Elephas maximus indicus: one gene and its partner. The protein of the gene in region 2 purifies or fractionates together with the protein of the main gene of each other region. This does not show direct contact. Links are inferred from orthologs where the notes say so. Each region holds a gene or a part of one and is shown on either strand. Other genes may lie near its edges. The genes, in order: FBXL3 and CRY1.

Region 1 (8,260 bases), on a different chromosome or scaffold from region 2:
GGACAAATTTATATAACATTAAAGAGTTGTCCCTAAGTCAGGATGCTAGTAACCCAGAACTGCCTGTATCCATTTTACCTTAGACATATAAACAGAAATAAAACAACCGCCTTATTCACACAATTTTCTCTGTTAACACTTTGCTGGTCCTAACAACAAGTACTTACTTTGTCTATTACAGCCCTGTTCTAAACAACGTATATTTTAATACTTTTCCAAGTTGAGAAGGGGATAAAAACCTGAAAAATATTAAAAAGTATGCAATACTGGGATAATTGTATTTCTCTCAGCTGAGATATAAAAAGATTATATGATCACAAAAGTATATTTTAAGCATTTATTAGTTTATGAATAGCTGAACAAATATCTAAATTTTCATGTAATAGAACCGTAGTGTCATAATTTATTAGTACATTAGTATATAAACCTATCAAAAAAAGAGCATCTACAAATATAAGGCCAAATGCAGATAAAAACGTTCTCTGTATTATCTTCAGGGAGCCCTGGTGGTACAGTGGTTAAGAGCTTGGTTGCTAACCAAAAAAAAAAAGCCCACAGTTCAAACCCACCAGCCGCTCCTTGGAAACCGTACGAGGCAGTTCTACTCCATCCTATAGGGTCACTACGAGTTGGCACCCACTCGACAGCAACAGGTTTTTTGGTTATTATCTTCACATGCATAAAAATAAGAGAAGGGAGTGGACCCATAATAAAACTTCTAAATGTTGTTTTTTCCAGGTTGACTTCATCTATTCATGCAAAAATTTACAGTGCTTTCAAAAGCAGTTTATTATATCTATTTATACATCCACCAGTCTGCAAATGACTTACGTCAATGGACTTATTTATCTCCTACTTAAAACGCCTTTTATATTTGAAGAGGCGTGGAGCGGATGAGCTGGAAAATAAACGTCAATGAAACCCAGGCCTCTGCAGAGCCTTGGCAATTTAATTTCCAACTGCAACTTTTCCAAGTCCCGAATAATTAACGCAATTTAGGCCACTGCAGCTTTTGGTGAGAGACTATGAAGGGACAAAAAGCAACCTAATGAAGAAAAACTATAGCAGCCAACACAGGAAGTCACTGAGCCAACTCAACATTTCCATGTAACTCTGGAAAGGGCAGTCAAGTTGACCATCAAACAGATGAAGAGCAGAAGAGAACCCTGGCTGTGCACCCTCGTTTCAGGCACTTTTACATACGTTTGTTGTTGTTATGTGCCATCGAGTTGATTCTGACTCACAGCAAACCCATAGGACAACCCCATAAGGTTTCCATGGAGTGGCTGGTGGATTCAAACAACCAACCTTTTGGTTAGCAGCAAAGCTCCTAACCACTGTTAGGTGCTGTCAAGTCAATTTTAAACATACGACAACCCTATGTCACAGGGAACTGCCCCACAGGGTTTTCTTGACTGTAATCTTTATGGAAGCAGATTGCCTGGTCTTTCTCCCACAACTGGGACAGGGCTGGAACTGAGCAGCCAAACACTTAACCATTGCACCACCAGGGCTCCTTGTACATAAACTAAGCCAAACCAAACCCACTGTTACCGAGTTGATTCCGACTTATAGCCACCCTAAACGACAGACTGCTACGAGTAGGAATCGACTAGACCGCAGTGGGTTTTTGGGTATACAACAGAACATAATTGCCCCATAGGGTTTCCAAGGAGTGTGGCTGATGTTAGCGGCGGCATGCATAACTACTGAAACACCAGAGCTCCTTACCTACCCTGGGCATGTAATAATTTTAAAAGTTCGTTTGTATTTAGCTCTGGAAAACTAAAAGAGCCTGTTTCGGCATATTTCCTTTCCACTTATGTTCTGCTTTGACTAATTTCAAAATGCCTTCTTGAGCTGGAATACAAGAAAAGAAGAGTGGTAAGAGTTGAACTCTCAGAATTGGATGGCAGGGAGAACGTGGTGAAAAATGTCTCATGGTCATACGTACATACCTCGGAATTGGTGGCATTTTTAGAAATATCTCACCGATTGCAGAAACTACTTAACATTCAAGTTACAAAAAAAGATTCTAATTATTGGACGACAACTTCTGGCAGGGAGATTGACACCAATCATTTAGCGGGCTGCTCTGCCTGATCATTGTAACTGCAGCCTAAAAAAGGCTGCTCACGCCAAAAGTAGGCGCGAAGCTGCTCATCTCAAGTTGACCAAGTTTTCCACTCCGCTACGCGGCGCGGGCGTCGCCGCCTCCCCTCCGCCCTGCGCCACCTCCACGGATTGGACAGAGCTCGTGCGCTCTACCCTGGCAGTTTGTTTTGACGTTTTAATACTTCTAATTTCTCAAGTTACAAACCCGGCGTAGCCGTCGCCGGGAAGAGCTCCGCAGAAAGCGAGCTCCACGGTGCCTGTCACCAAACCCTGGTGCGGGTAGTAAAGCCGGGCGACAGCCGAGGCGAGCCCAGGGCGCGGCAGCGTCGCGGGGCGGGCTGCACGCGGCCGCCGCACACGCACCACGCCTTGTTGACATGTTTTGAAGACAGCACCGGAGGGAAACGCCCCCAAACAGGCTCCAATGTCTGGGCGCCGCCCGGCCTCCCGAGGGGCGGTCCGCGCGTGTCAGGGACCCCGCGCCCCTCCGCCCGTTCCTCTGCCCAGAAATGGCCGGTGGACCCTCCACTGACCCGCCTTTGCTACGGCGCTCCGGTCCTGCCCATCCGCCGTTACCTGCTGCCGTGGGCGGCTTCGCCCACACACCACCCCGGGCTCCGGGGACGGCGGCGGCGGCTGGTCCCGCGGCTCTCACATGAGGCCCCCAAGGCCCCCGGCTTCGCGCTCCCGTCGCCGCGGCCCCCCGCGCTCCGCCCGCATCCGAGGCGCTGGTCCCGCAGCGAGCGCCAACGCGGCTCCACCTTCGCGGCTCTGGCTGCCCAGGGAGAAGTCTTCCTTCTCAGCCTCACGCCGCCTACGTTTTTCTCCCAGGACCCCTTGTCACCGCAAGAGACACCCTCAGCGAGCTGCGGCCACCGCGTAGCTTCCCGGCGCTTCCGTCCAGACACTGAGTCCAAAATGGCGCCCGTAACTCGCGGCCGCGCGCTTTCCCCGGCGCCTCTCCGCCGGAGTGGGGCGGGCGCGCGTTCGCCACTGGCGCGCTCGCGGAGGGCGGGGAGGACAGGAGCGGGGCCGCGCCCACGTGGGAGCGCGCGCAGAAGCGGTCGAACGTCTGTGCCTCTCAGCTGTGTTCATCCGCCTCTTCTTTTCTAAAGGAGAGTCCGCCGCCTCCCTCTCAGCAGTGACTGCTACTTTTAGGGAATTTTTTGTTTGGGAGCAGACAGAGAGGGCTGGAGCTAGGTGGTTGTCCAAGAGACTGTCTGGGCTGAAAAGAAAGTTTAGGGAGTGGAACCGAGAAAAGAAAGGAAGGAGTGTCTCTAGAGTGTCTCTTGTAACTTGGCAGCCGGTTCCACCGGGCAGAAAGATAAACAGTACCTGTTGACAGCTGACACACTTCTCAGGGTGAGGTGTTGGCACTTGGGAGGGCCATGACTTGCGATCTGTAACCTTAGGGGTTAAAACCACAGGCTTTAAAAATACACAGGAGTCCTGGTGGTGCAGTGGTTAAGAGCCTGGCTGCTAACCAAAAGGTAAGCAATTCGAATCCACCAGCCGCTCCCAGGAAACCCTATGGGGGCAGTTCTACTCTATTCTGTAGGATCGCTGTCAGCATCGACTCCATGGCAATGGGTTTGGTTTTTTTGTTGTTTTAATACACAAACCTAATATATACGTAATTTTTTAAAATATTGCAATGAAACATACCAGAGTGGTAACCTGTTAACCCTGGAATTACAGAATGTTTTTTTATTTTTAAAATATTTGTATTTCCCAATTTTCCTGAAATGAGTTTTATAATCAGAGTTATTACTCTTTTAAAACCACCTCTGCTTTATGAAGTAGTTGAAGTCGTTGCCACTGAGTGGATTCTGACGCATGTTACAGAGTAGGACTCCATAGGATTTTGCAAGCAGATTGCCAGGCCTTTTTTTTTGAGGCACCAGTGGGTGGGTTTGAACTGCCAACCTTCAGGTTCGTAAACCAGAAGCTGTTGTTGCTGAGTCAAGTCCAACTCATTGTGACCCTATAGGACAGAGCAGAACTGCCCCATAGGGTTTCCAAGGCTGTAACCTTTATGGGTGCAGACTCACTTCTTTCTCCCACAGAGCCGCTAGTAGGTTTGAACCGTGGTCCACTTTTCGGTAGCAGCTGAGCGCTTAACCACAGCACCACCACCAGGGCTCCTTGTGAAGTAGATACCCAAACCAAAACTAAACTCATTGCGGTTGAGTGGATTCTGACGCACAGTGACCCTATAGGACAGAGTGGAACTGCTGTATAGGGTTTCCGGGGCTGTAAACCTTTACAGAAGCAGATTACCACATCTTTCTCCCACGGAGCAGCTGGTGGGTTTGAAATGCTAAACTGCCAACCTTCAGTTAGCAGCCAAGTGCTTAACCACTGCGCCTCCAAGGCTTCTATGAAGTAAAAAACTCCTGGAATTTATAAGTAGCTTTCTGAAACGTAACGGGAAAAGTAAAGTAAAGGAGCAGAGAGCTATTTGAAAGAAAACCTCTGGTGATGCTTTTTGTAAATCAAGGCATCTTTGTGTGTAACTGCTACCTAGTTAACTTGTTTTAAAAATTGAGATTTTGGGGTAGTGAGTTTTCCTAAAGCTAGAAATGTCCTATGTGCAAAAACATAACTGAATCATGCACTCTGCCTCCTCTACCCCATAAAACAAAGCAAAAGAAAGTAATTTTCCATCCCAAGACGTCTTCTGAACTATCTCGGCTGTGTGTAGGAGACTGATAGCAGTGATGTCCAGGGAAGCCTTCACTCCTCCCCTTCCCTCAAGAAATTGAGCTAAGAATTGATATTTAAAACAGCATTAAGATTCAGTGTGGGAAAATGACAGTCTTTTTTTTAAGGGCCTGACTATCAGGTCATCAAGGCAAACTACAAAATCTATAGCAACATAATAATGTAAAACCAAATCAAAACCCATTGCTGTCAAGTTGATTCCGACTCATAGCGACCAGGTACCTAAACTGCAACATTTTTTTAGGTCCCTCTGTGACTAGATGATGAGGGACAATAGAAAGTTCTAAGAAAGGCAAGAAAAACAGGCCCATTTCTTTAAAGCTAGGTTAAGAGTATAAATGATCAGCAAAATACATTAAACCAAATCAGCAAACATAACTAGAATATCACATTAGAGCTTTTACCCTCCAGCGTGGGTTTTCCCATTACAGGTTACCCTCCTCTCGTGCAAGACAAGGACCTTGACACACCTAACTCACTGAATGCTCCTTCTTCATCCTTGTAATTGTTATTTAAAACTTTTATTTCACCTTTTTTTCTTTTTTTATTGTGCTTTAAGTAGAAGTTTACCATCCAAGTCAGTTTCTCATACACACACATTGTTATATGGCCCTAGTTGCTTTCCCTGCAATGTGACAACTCCTCTCTACTCTGTATTTCCTGTGCCCATTCAGCCAGCTCCTGTCCCCTCTGCCGCCTCTCCTCGCCTCCAGACAGAAACTGCCCACATAGTCTCATGTGTCTACTTGAGCTAAGAAGCACACCCCTCACCGGTATCATTTTATGTCTTATAGTCCAGCCTAATCTTTGTCTAAAGAGCTGGCTTTGGGAATGTTCTAGTTTTTGGCTAACAGAGAGTCTGGGGGCCATGATCTCTGGGCTCCCTCCAGTCTTAGACCATTAAGTCTGGTCTTTTTACTGGAACTCGAGGTCTACATCCCACTTTTCTTCTGCTCCATCAGGGATTTTCTGTCGTGTTCCCTGTCAGGGCAGTCATCGGTGGAAGCCGGGCACCCTCTAGTTCTTCCAGTCTCAGGCTGATGGAGTCTCTGGCTTATGTGGCCCTTTCTGTCTCTTGGGCTCATATTTTCCTTCTGTCTTTGCTGTTGTTCATTTTCCTTTGCTCTAGGTGGTTTAAAACCAATTGATGCATCTTAGATGGCCGCTTGCTAGCTTTTAAGACCCCAGATGCTACTCACCAAGGTGGGATGCAGGACATTTTCTTAATATACTTTGTTATGCCAGTTGACCTAGATGTCCCCTGAAACCATGGTCCCCAGACCCCCTATGCCTGTACTGTCCCTCGAATTGTTTGGTTGTATTCAGGAAACTTCTTAGCTTTGGGTTTAGTCCAGTTGTGCTGACTTACCCTGTATTGTGTGTTGTCCTTCCCTTCACCTAAAATAATTCTTGTCTACCGTCTGATTAGCGAATATCTCTCTCCCTCCCCACCCCCGTAACCATCAAAGAATGGTTTCTTCTCTATTTCACCTTTTTAAAAGAAGAAACTTGTGCTTATTTTTGAAGCAGACAATCCTTACTTACATTTATCAGTCGTATTAGTCAAGGTCAGTGGCATAGGAGTTGTGGGGGGCTGGTTAACTGTGGAGGAGTTTGGTGCAGCAGGGAAGAAAATTTTATTACTGATCTTATTTAGAATTGCCAGTGCATGGTGATAGTAAAAAGCGGGCTGATTTTTAGTCATTTTTTTCAAATTGTTTTTAAATTCTCCAGGGCAGACAACCCCCACCATAACCTTCACCTTGGTACACTGCTGGTCAGGATGGCTCAGGTGATGCTGCCCTAGTTCCTTATGCACAGCCTTGTAATTCCTTGTTTTTGATGACTTTCACACTGTTAAGGAGTACTGGTCCAGTATTTGTAGGATGTACCGTAATTGTTTTTTGTTTTGTTTTGTTTTCTGACTAGACCCATGGTTTTCAATTCTCAAAAAGGTTTTTTTTTTTTTTTAACTCGGAGTTTGCTGTTCTTCTCCATGTGCCCTAGGCCAGCCATTCCTCAAGGAGGATGAAGATATTCAAAATTCTTGCTTTATGCAGGGATCTCAGTTATCACTTCTCCTACAAACTCATCTCCTGTCCCTCCCTGACATTAAAACCCAAGCCACTATCTCTTCAAATAGTCCTTTGCCACCAATTCTTCTATTTTGATCTTAAGCTCTTTATGTTTTGTCCTTTCAATTTATCTTCGACATTTAGTTGTCCTTTCATGTTTTTATCTTTTTCTTTCTTTGTGTATTGCCTTTCTTTCAACTCATTGATTTTCTCTTTGTCTCCTTCTAGAGTTTCTACCAGCTATTGAACATTTCATTCCCCAAATTTCTAATTTGTTCTTATATCCATCTAGTTTTTAAATCATTTAAAAATGATTTTTATTCCTTCTTTATCTTTGAGGACCCTAAACATTTCAATTTTGAGGTCATTTATATATTGTAGTATTATTTCCAATTTGTTTGAAGTAAATTTGTCCCTAATTATTAATTTTGCTGGCTGCTATTCTCATCCTTGCTTTTCTCCATCAGTTTTGAAATGTTAACCTGCAAGCTTATGTTGAGAACAAAAGATTTCTTTGTTTATCATTCTTTCTGTGCCCTCTCCTTTCTCCATCTCTCTCTACACTTGTGTGAATGCCTCCACTTGGCCACTCAGACCCTCAGTCTAGGGCCACTCAGACTCTCAGTCTAGGGCAGGTCTTATATTCGTGTTTCTGAGTCTCCAGTCTATTATCTTGCAGGCCCAGCAACTGAAGCAAAGGGCAACTTGTGTCCTGTACTGCCTGGGAAGCTGTGTGTGTGTCCTCTTCCCTCGCGGGCACACATTTCCTATCAGCCAGAACTGTAGGCACCAACTTTTTAAACCTGCTGTATAGTTAGAGATTCACAACAAGCTTCTGGTTTTAGGCAGTGACACAGGCTCTGTTCTCCTGCCTCATAGAGGTGCTCTATCCCCCGCTCCCCTACCATGGCGGTACCTGCTTCCATACCTATACCATGGCAAGTCTACTTCAAAACCAGTCACTGCTTTGTATGGATGTGCCTTTTAGATACACAAAAGTATTTTCTTTTTCTGAATCTCCCTTTTTAATATTAAATTTTTATAGCAAACCTATTATTGCTATGTATTTAATAGTGGGAAACTCAAAACACAAATTCCAAACACCTCCTTGACGGGAAATCCTGCTGTGATAGTGTTTCCAGCTTTTATTGACTTGAAATTTTGAAAGTATAGTTATAGTTAACTCTTCTGTCTGCTTGACTTCCAGCATTTAATTCATGCTTAGAGCCTGTTTCCCACGTCTTGCGTACTTGCTCCATTCTTTTGGTGCCAAAAAAAAAAAAAAAAAAAAAAAAACCAACACCTAAATTCAGATTTTCTCTCTGCATGCCAGCTTAAGTCCCAAA
Region 2 (8,032 bases):
CAATTTATCCTCATAACAACCTTATGAGAAAGGAATTACTATATTATTGTAAGATATTATTATTAATACACTATATTAATTTTATCATCTTTTTCCAGGATCACCGTTTAATGATGTAATTTCTGCTAATGAAAAACTGTTGTACATATGGTTGCTGTTTCATTCCCATCAGCACACAAACATATTGTAACTTCTCTCATTTAGAAAAAGTCCTCTTGACTTCACATCCCCTCACACCATTTCTCTCTCTGATTCTCTTAGAGCAAAACCCCTTGAAATCAAGAGCTGTCTATGTGAGTTGTCTCCAACTCCTCTCAACAACTTCTCACCACATCACCATTATCACCATGGACCAAGCCATTATCGTCGCTCACCTGGATGAGTGCAACAGCTCCTAACTGGTCTCCCGGCTTTTTGTCCACCTCTACCCCTTTACCCTCAGTTCAGTCTATTCTCAGAACCACAGCCAGAGAAATTGTTTTCAATCTTAAGTCAGATGACATCACTTCTCTGCTCACAACCCTGCAATTATTCCTATTTCACCCAGAGTAAAAGCCCAAATCTTAACAACTGTCTACAAAGTTCTACTCAATTGGTCCTATCATATCTCTGGCTTCTTCTCCTACTACTTTTCCCCTCACTTATTCTGTTCTGAAATCATATTGGCTTCTTCTGCTGTTCCTCAAAGGTCACATTTCCACCTCAGGGCCTTTTCCTTTAGTGTTCCCTCTGCCTGGAATGCTCTTCCCCCTGGATATTCATATTTCATCACCTCTTTTTGGAAACCCTGGTGGCGTAGTGGTTAAGTGCTACGGCTGCTAACCAAAAAGGTCGGCAATTCGAATCCACCAGGCGCTCCTTGGAAACTCACGGGGCAGTTCTACTCTGTCCTGTAGGGTCGCTATGAGTTGGAATCGACTTGATGGCCGTGGGTTTGGGTGTTTTTGGGTTCAAGTGTTTGCTCAAATGCCACCTTTGAGCGAACCTGTGAGCTTTTCCCTGATCACATTTTAAATTGCATCCCCAACTCCGTATTCCTTAAACCTTTTCTCTGCTCTGTTTTTCTCCACGACACTTACCATCACCTAAAATACTATGTATTTTATTTCCAGGGACATAAACTCAAAGAGGACAGAAATTTTAGTCTATTTTTCTTACTGTTATACCGCTAGCATTTAAAGCAGTACCTGGCGTATGACAGGTGATCAATAATGTTTGCATGAATTATTTCATGTCTATCAGGGAGCCTAACAAATCACCTAGCCTGGTATTCCAGGAAAAGATCATCAAGCTTCTCTAAGATTTCTCCCAGTTCTCTGATCCCTAGAAGGATTATACTTCGCCTAGAAAGAAAAAGTGTGCTTTGTCTCCTCAGCCACAAGGAGGAGTTGGGAGGAGCTGAGCAAAGGAAACGAGAAAATGCTGCTTCCTTGCTTTTCCTATGGTTGCCTCAAGGTGGAAGAAAACTGGACTTGAAAACCCTGGTGGCGTAGTGGTTAAGTGCTACCGCTGCTAACCAAAAGGTCGGCAGTTCAAATCCATCTGGATGTTCTTGAAAACTCTGTTGGGCAGCTCTACCCGTCCTATAGGGTCACTATTAGTCAGATTGGACTAGACAACAATAGGTTTTTTTTTTTTTTTTTGGTTTGGTAGTTTAAAGGAATGATTTTCTCAATACTAACAGCTACCTTGGAGCCCTGGTGGTGCAGTGGTTAACAGCTCGGCTGCTAACCAAAAGGTCAGCAGTTCGAATCCACCAGCCGCTCCTTGGAAACCCTATGGGGCAGTTCTACCCCGTCCAATAGGGTCGCTATAAGTCGGATTCGACTCGACAGCAACGGGTTTTTTTTGTTGTCGTTGTTATTTACCTATATTCACACAAACGTAAATATTAAAAGCCACAATCCTTTCGAACACCACACAGAGGGCAACGAAATCAACCCACAGGCCATTAAGGATGAAAAGAGTGTTTCTTTAGCTCCACCACTAAGAATTCTCCATAAATTCGAGGGCAGAGCTTCTATTACCACTCACAGCTGAAGGCCAAGGGGTCCCAGCTGGTCAACACTCTCTAGCCAATTCCCCTGGATGTTTACATGAAACAGCTACAGTTCTTAAACGTTACAAGCAAGGCGCTCCCAGGGCTAAATTTCTCAGACTTGGCCGATCGCAGAGAAGGTCCTGAGTGACCAAACACACATTAACGCCACTCGGGGGATGGACTCACCGCCACCTGTTGATCCCCACGTTAGACGAGCCGGCGAACCAGGGGTCGAGGATGTAGACGCAGCGGATGGTGTCGGCGCCCTGAATGCACTCCTTCAGGGCGGGGTTGTCGTGCAGCCGGAGCCCCTTTCGGAACCAGTGCACGGCGTTCACCCCCATCCCGGCGGCCAGCGGGTCAGCGCCGAGTTCCTCCAGAGAGAATTTCAAGCAAGCAAGGTCCGGCTCATAGCCGACCCCTTCGCTTCCAGGAGAATCGCCAAGCCCAAGGAGTAAGAAAGGGCGGCAGAGGGGGGACAGGAAAAAATGAATCCGAGGAGGGGACGTGCGAAGGAGAGGGCGCTGGAGGCGCAGTTGGAAGATGAATGGAGGCTGCCCAGCCCGGGTGTGACGCCCTTTAGGACCCGGCGCAGGCCTCAACCGCCTGGAGGAGACGCATAACTTCGACGGCCTCGGAACCCCCGAGGGTGAGCAAGTTCCAGGAGCGCGAGCCGCCACGACGGCCCGAGAAGGCAAAGGCGGCCCCAGAAGGTTCGTCACGGAAGCCTCGCCCCACCAAGGCTGCCCTCGAGGAGAAAACGGCCCGGCGCAGGTGAGTCACCCAGAGAAATGAGAGAGGATTCGGCCACTGTCAGGAACTCTGCCTCGCGGCCCGGGACAAACGAACGAGGACGAAGGCGGTGGTCGAGGACGCTGGACGGTTGCCGGCCAGTGACCAGTCCCGAGGCTGCCCGGGTGATTCCGCCGCCGCCGCCGCCGACGCGTCAGCGGCCTCGGCCCCGCCCCCGGCTCCTCATTGGCGAGCACACTCCCCACGTGACCACCGGCACCTCACGTTTCTGAAGTGTGTTTACTACACCGGCTCTGGCTGAGGAATCTTCTCGTGTTTCGATCACTTCCGGAGAGCAGCAGCAGCTCCAGACTGTAGATCCTCGCCCCAGTGCTGGGATCCCTGCCTCTGGCCCTTTCCTCGGCCGTCTGGTCGCGGTCCCCACAGGCGCCAGCGATGACCACAGGCCCCATGTGAGGGAAGGCTTGGCTCCGCCCCCGGGGGCCGTGAGCGGCCACTATTGGCTGAGGCTCGCTGAGGCCCGGATGAGCACGGGGATGCGGGGAGCTCGCGGGCACGCGCTCAGCACTGGGAGGCGCGCGTGCGCTCTCTCTGCGTCCCTGCGGTCTGGAGCGCGCAGGGCGATTCCTTCCGTAGGGCGGTGGGAGGCCGGGAAGGCGGCCCTCTGGGAGTCAACCGTGAAGCCTGGCCAGGAGAAGGGGAGATTGGGGTGGAAGCAGGAGTTTGGGAGGCTCCACTTAGACTTCCAGCCCAAACCATGTGCTTCGGTCCAGCTTTGGTCGGAGAGCCCTGCTTTGGCGTGTCTATAACTGGCGCTCCTACCATTCTGTGCGTCTGTGGCGCGGTACGCTTGGACTCCGACAGTGATGTGTCGATTTACCTGTTCCTGATGCGGCCCTTGCCTGCCTTTGTAGAGATAATGGACTGTGGGCCATGTCATTTCTTGAACACATGATGGCCTTGTATTCATTCAACAATTACTTACTGAGAGCCTGTTATGTGCCAGACATTTTCAAGGCTCAGGGGGCGGGGGGTACAAGAGAGAATACCAGAAAAACCCAAATCGCTTGCCATTGATTGGATTCCTGCTCATGGTGACCCCACGTGTGTCAGTAGAACTGTGCTCCGTAAAAGAGACAAAAACCACAGCCCTCCTGAAGCCTGCAATCTGTGACTCCTAACTTGTGAGGTTGCTATTCTTTTTGTCTCTATAAAAATATCCTTTGGAACCTGCTGCTTACTATAACCAACTTTGAGCTACCTAGTGTATTTCTACACATCCCTTTAGACTCAGATGAAGTGTTACCTAATTTGTGAAATTATTTCTGACTCCCAGGGTGGGTTTAGGGCCTCCCCCTCAGCCCTCCACACATGTGTCTGATACATCACTTAATACACTGTAAAACCTAAACCTAGTGTGGTGTAGTGTTTAAGTGCTATGGCTGGTAACCAAAGGGCCGGCAGTTCGAATCCACCAGGTGCTCCTTGGAAACTCTATGGGGCAGTTCTGCCCTGTCGTATAGGGTCACTATGAGTCAGAATTGACTCGACAGCACTGGGCTGGTTCAGATCCTTGGAAACACTGTGGGGCAGTTCTACTCTGTCCTGTAGTGTTGCTATGAGTTGGAATCAACTCAACTGCAAGGGGTTTGGTGTTTGGTTTTACTGTAGTACCTAAGGCTCTTGGGTGGCCCAAACGTTTTGAGGTTGGCCACGAACCAAAAGGATGCCAGTTCAAACCCACCCAGTGGTGCCTTGAAAGAAAGGCCTGACGATCAGCTTCTGTAAAGATTCCAAACCAAACCAAAAAATCAAACCCAGTGTTATAGAACAGAGTAGAGCTGACCCGTAGGGCTTCCAAGGAGCAGCTGGTGGATTTGAACTGCCAATCTTTTGATTAGCAGCCAAGCTTTTAACCACTGCACCACCACCACCACACACACCACATACATTGCTGTTGAGTCAATTCGGACTTATAGCAACCCTATAGGACAGGGTATAACTGCCCCATAGGGTTTACAAGGAGCTCCTGATGGATTTGAACTGCCAACCTTTTGGTTTGCAGCCATAGCTCTTAGTCACTACACCACCAGGGTTTCTACTACACCACCAGGGCTCTGTAAAGATTAAAAAAAAAGAAAAACCAAACCTATTGCTGTTGAGTCCGGCCCATAGCGACCCTATAGGACAGAGAAGAATCGCCCCATAGAGTTTCCAAAGAGTGCCTGGTTGATTTGAACTGCCGACCTTTTTGGTTAGCAGACATAGCTCTTAATCACTACACCACCAGGGTTTCCATAAAGATTAGGGCCAAGGAAACCCTATGGAGCTTATTTCTCTGTAGCACATGGGGAAGCCATGTGTTGAAACTGACTTGTCAGCCATGGATTTGGGTTTTTTTTTTTTTTTTTTGGTATTCTCTACTGTATCCTCAGCATGTTGTACCTAGTAGGAAGACAGTGCTCAGTAATATAGTGTCTCTGACTCCATTAAAGTTTGACTTCCTAAGGGCAAGGTTTCTGTCTAGTTCATCTTTTTGCATCATCAACACCTAGTCCAGACCCTGACGTTTATACACTAAAATGTTTGTTGAATGAATGAATGTATATTGTTTGCCACCAGTTTGGGTGGCAAGGTTAAAAGGAAGAAGGAAATGGCAATAAAGTAAATTAAGTCATCTAAAAAGCCAATATGTCTAAACACTCTTCCCTACCCCTGTTGCCACGGGGAGGGTATATCATCCTTTCTTTGCTTTCTGTTGTCGTTGGGCGCCATTGAGTCGGTTCTGACCCATAGTGACCCTGTGTGCAACAGAACAATAACATTGCTTGGTCCTACACCATCCTAACAATTGTTGCAGCATTTGAACCTATTGTTGCAGCCGGTGTGTCAATCCATCTCATTGAGGGTCTTCCTCTTTTTTGTTGACCTCTACTTTACCAAGCCCTGATGGCATAGTGGTTAAGAGCTTGGCTGCTAACCAAAAAGTTAGCAGTTCAGATCCAACAGCCACCCCTTGGAAACCCTATGGGGCAGTTGTACTCTGCCCTGTAGGGTCATTATGAATCAGAATTGACTCGACAGCAATGGGTTTGGTGTTTTTGGTTCCTACTTTATCAAGCATGATGTCCTTCAAGGACTGGTCTCTCCTGATAACATGTACAAAGTATGTGAGACAAAGTCTCACCATCCTCCCTTCTAGGGAACATTCTGGCTGTACTTCTTCCAAAGTTTATTCATTCTTCTGGCAGTCCATGTTTTGTTGTTGCTGTTGGGTGCTGTTGGGTTGGTTCCTACTCATAGGAATGAGACACTGCCCGGTCTTGCACTATCCTCACAGTCATTGCTATGTTTGGGCCCATTGTTGCAGCCACTGTGTCAGTCCCTCTCACTGAGGGTCTTCCTCTTTTTTGCTGACCCTCTACTTTACCAAGCATGATGTCCTTTTCCAGGAACTGGTCCCTCCTGATAACATGTCCAAAGTATGTGAGATGAACTCTAGCCATCCTTGCTTCTAAGCACCATTTTGGCTGTAGTTCTTCTAAGACAGGTTTTTTTTGTTCTTCTGGCAGTCCTTGGTATTTTCAATATTTTTTGCCAACACTGTAATTCAAGGGCATCATTTCTTCTTGTCTCCTTTATTCATTGTTCAGCTTTTGCATGTATATGAGGTGATTGAAAATACCATGGCTTGGGTCATGTCCTCAAAGTGACATCTTTGCTTTTTATTGCTTTGAAGAGGTCTTTTGCAATTTGCCCAGTGCAATACATTGTTTCATTTCTTGACTGCTGCTTCCATGGACATTGATTGTGGCGCTGAGTTAAAAGAAATCCTTGACAACTTTAAAATATTTTCTCCATTTATCATGATGTTGCTTATTGGCCCACTTGTGAGGATTTTTGTTTTCTTTATGTTGAGGTGTAATCCATACTGAAGGCTGTAGTCTCTGATCTTCGTCAGTAAGTGCTTCAAGTTCTCTTGCTTTCAGCAAGCAAAGTTGTGCCTTCAGCGTATCACAGGTTGTTAATGAGTCTTCCTCCAATCCCGCTGCCATGTTCTTCTTCATATAGTCCAGCTTCTCAGATTATTTGCCAGCATACAGGTTGAATAAGTACAGTGAAAGGATACAACCCTGATACCAGGGATGGACTACCCAATAAGCAAGGTAAACACGTGCTGAGGGCAACAAGAAACAGAGGCACCATTTGCCCAAAGCAAAGACCTATAGATGCCAAGCAGACGGGACACAGGAAGAGTGACCACTGCAGTGGAAGGGAACTGGCAGGGAACTAAATGAAATTGACAAAAGCTACAGTTCATCTCATTCCACTAAAATGGCATACATCACCTTTGCTTTCAATCGCAAATGTTATAGTCACGTTTAAAAAGAAATTACATCATAGATAGCTGAGACACACACATGTGTAATGTGTATATATAACTCATATATCCCTTTGGAATGTGTGAATAAGCAGAGGAGGAGGCACCACAGATTATCCGTGTTTAGGGTCCTCACATGCCTTAATCTGGCCCTGCCTGCTGCACACCTTTCCTGATTTTAAACCATGTAGTATCCTCTTGTTCTGTTTGAATGACCGCCTCTTGGTCATTCATGAGCATGATTAAGTGTTTTGGAATTCCCATTCTTTGAAATCTTATCCATTTTTGTTATTATCTACACAGTCAGATGCCTTTGTTTTATAGAAGAATATTTAAAATTATATGCAGTCATGTGCTGTATAACATCCATTTGGGCAATGTCCGACTGCATATGCATTCATGGCCCCATAAGGGTTTTTTTTTTTTTTAAGGGAAAGCAGCTCTCCTTTTGTTTATTATTTCCTCCTAATGGTTTTAAAGACCCCAGACTCCCAGAGTAAATGAGCTGGAGAGCTCCAGGGTGCATCTCAATCCCAGAAGAGCTTCCTCCTTCATCTCCTTCCCCTCCTCCTGGCCATTCACAGGCCCAGCAGCCACGCAGCTGTTCGCTCCCAGCAAACCTGCTGAGGCTGCTTTGCTCCTGGTCCAGGTGGCTGTAGCAGCTGCACCAGCAGAGTGGGGCAGCCAGGGTCTGCCACTGCCAGCCATGCACCAGGCACCTGCACAGCTGCTCCCTGCCTGGTCCCCACAGCCACTTCTCCCTGCTGCTGTGCACCCCTCCCCCCGCTGCCCTGCCCTGTGCCTGGAGGTGTGCAAAGCCTCAATCTGACTGCTAGCGCAGCCCCCACCTGGCCCCC

The links.
Region 1: the proteins of CRY1 (region 2) and FBXL3 purify together in Homo sapiens (affinity purification with mass spectrometry; 4 studies listed by BioGRID and IntAct, counting the BioPlex papers as one, with this or other methods). This does not show direct contact. The link is inferred for Elephas maximus indicus from reciprocal best matches to the Homo sapiens genes CRY1 and FBXL3.

What each region holds. Positions count from the first base shown.
Region 1 is NC_064832.1:70,175,698-70,183,957, forward strand, and holds the start of FBXL3 (F-box/LRR-repeat protein 3), read right to left. Parts: upstream 3,100-8,260; 5' UTR 2,692-3,099; exon of another isoform or gene 2,649-2,691; intron 1-2,648. UniProt on the Homo sapiens protein: Substrate-recognition component of the SCF(FBXL3) E3 ubiquitin ligase complex involved in circadian rhythm function. Plays a key role in the maintenance of both the speed and the robustness of the circadian clock oscillation.
Region 2 is NC_064822.1:174,245,159-174,253,190, forward strand, and holds the start of CRY1 (cryptochrome-1), read right to left. Parts: upstream 3,258-8,032; 5' UTR 2,386-3,257; coding exon 2,228-2,385; intron 1-2,227.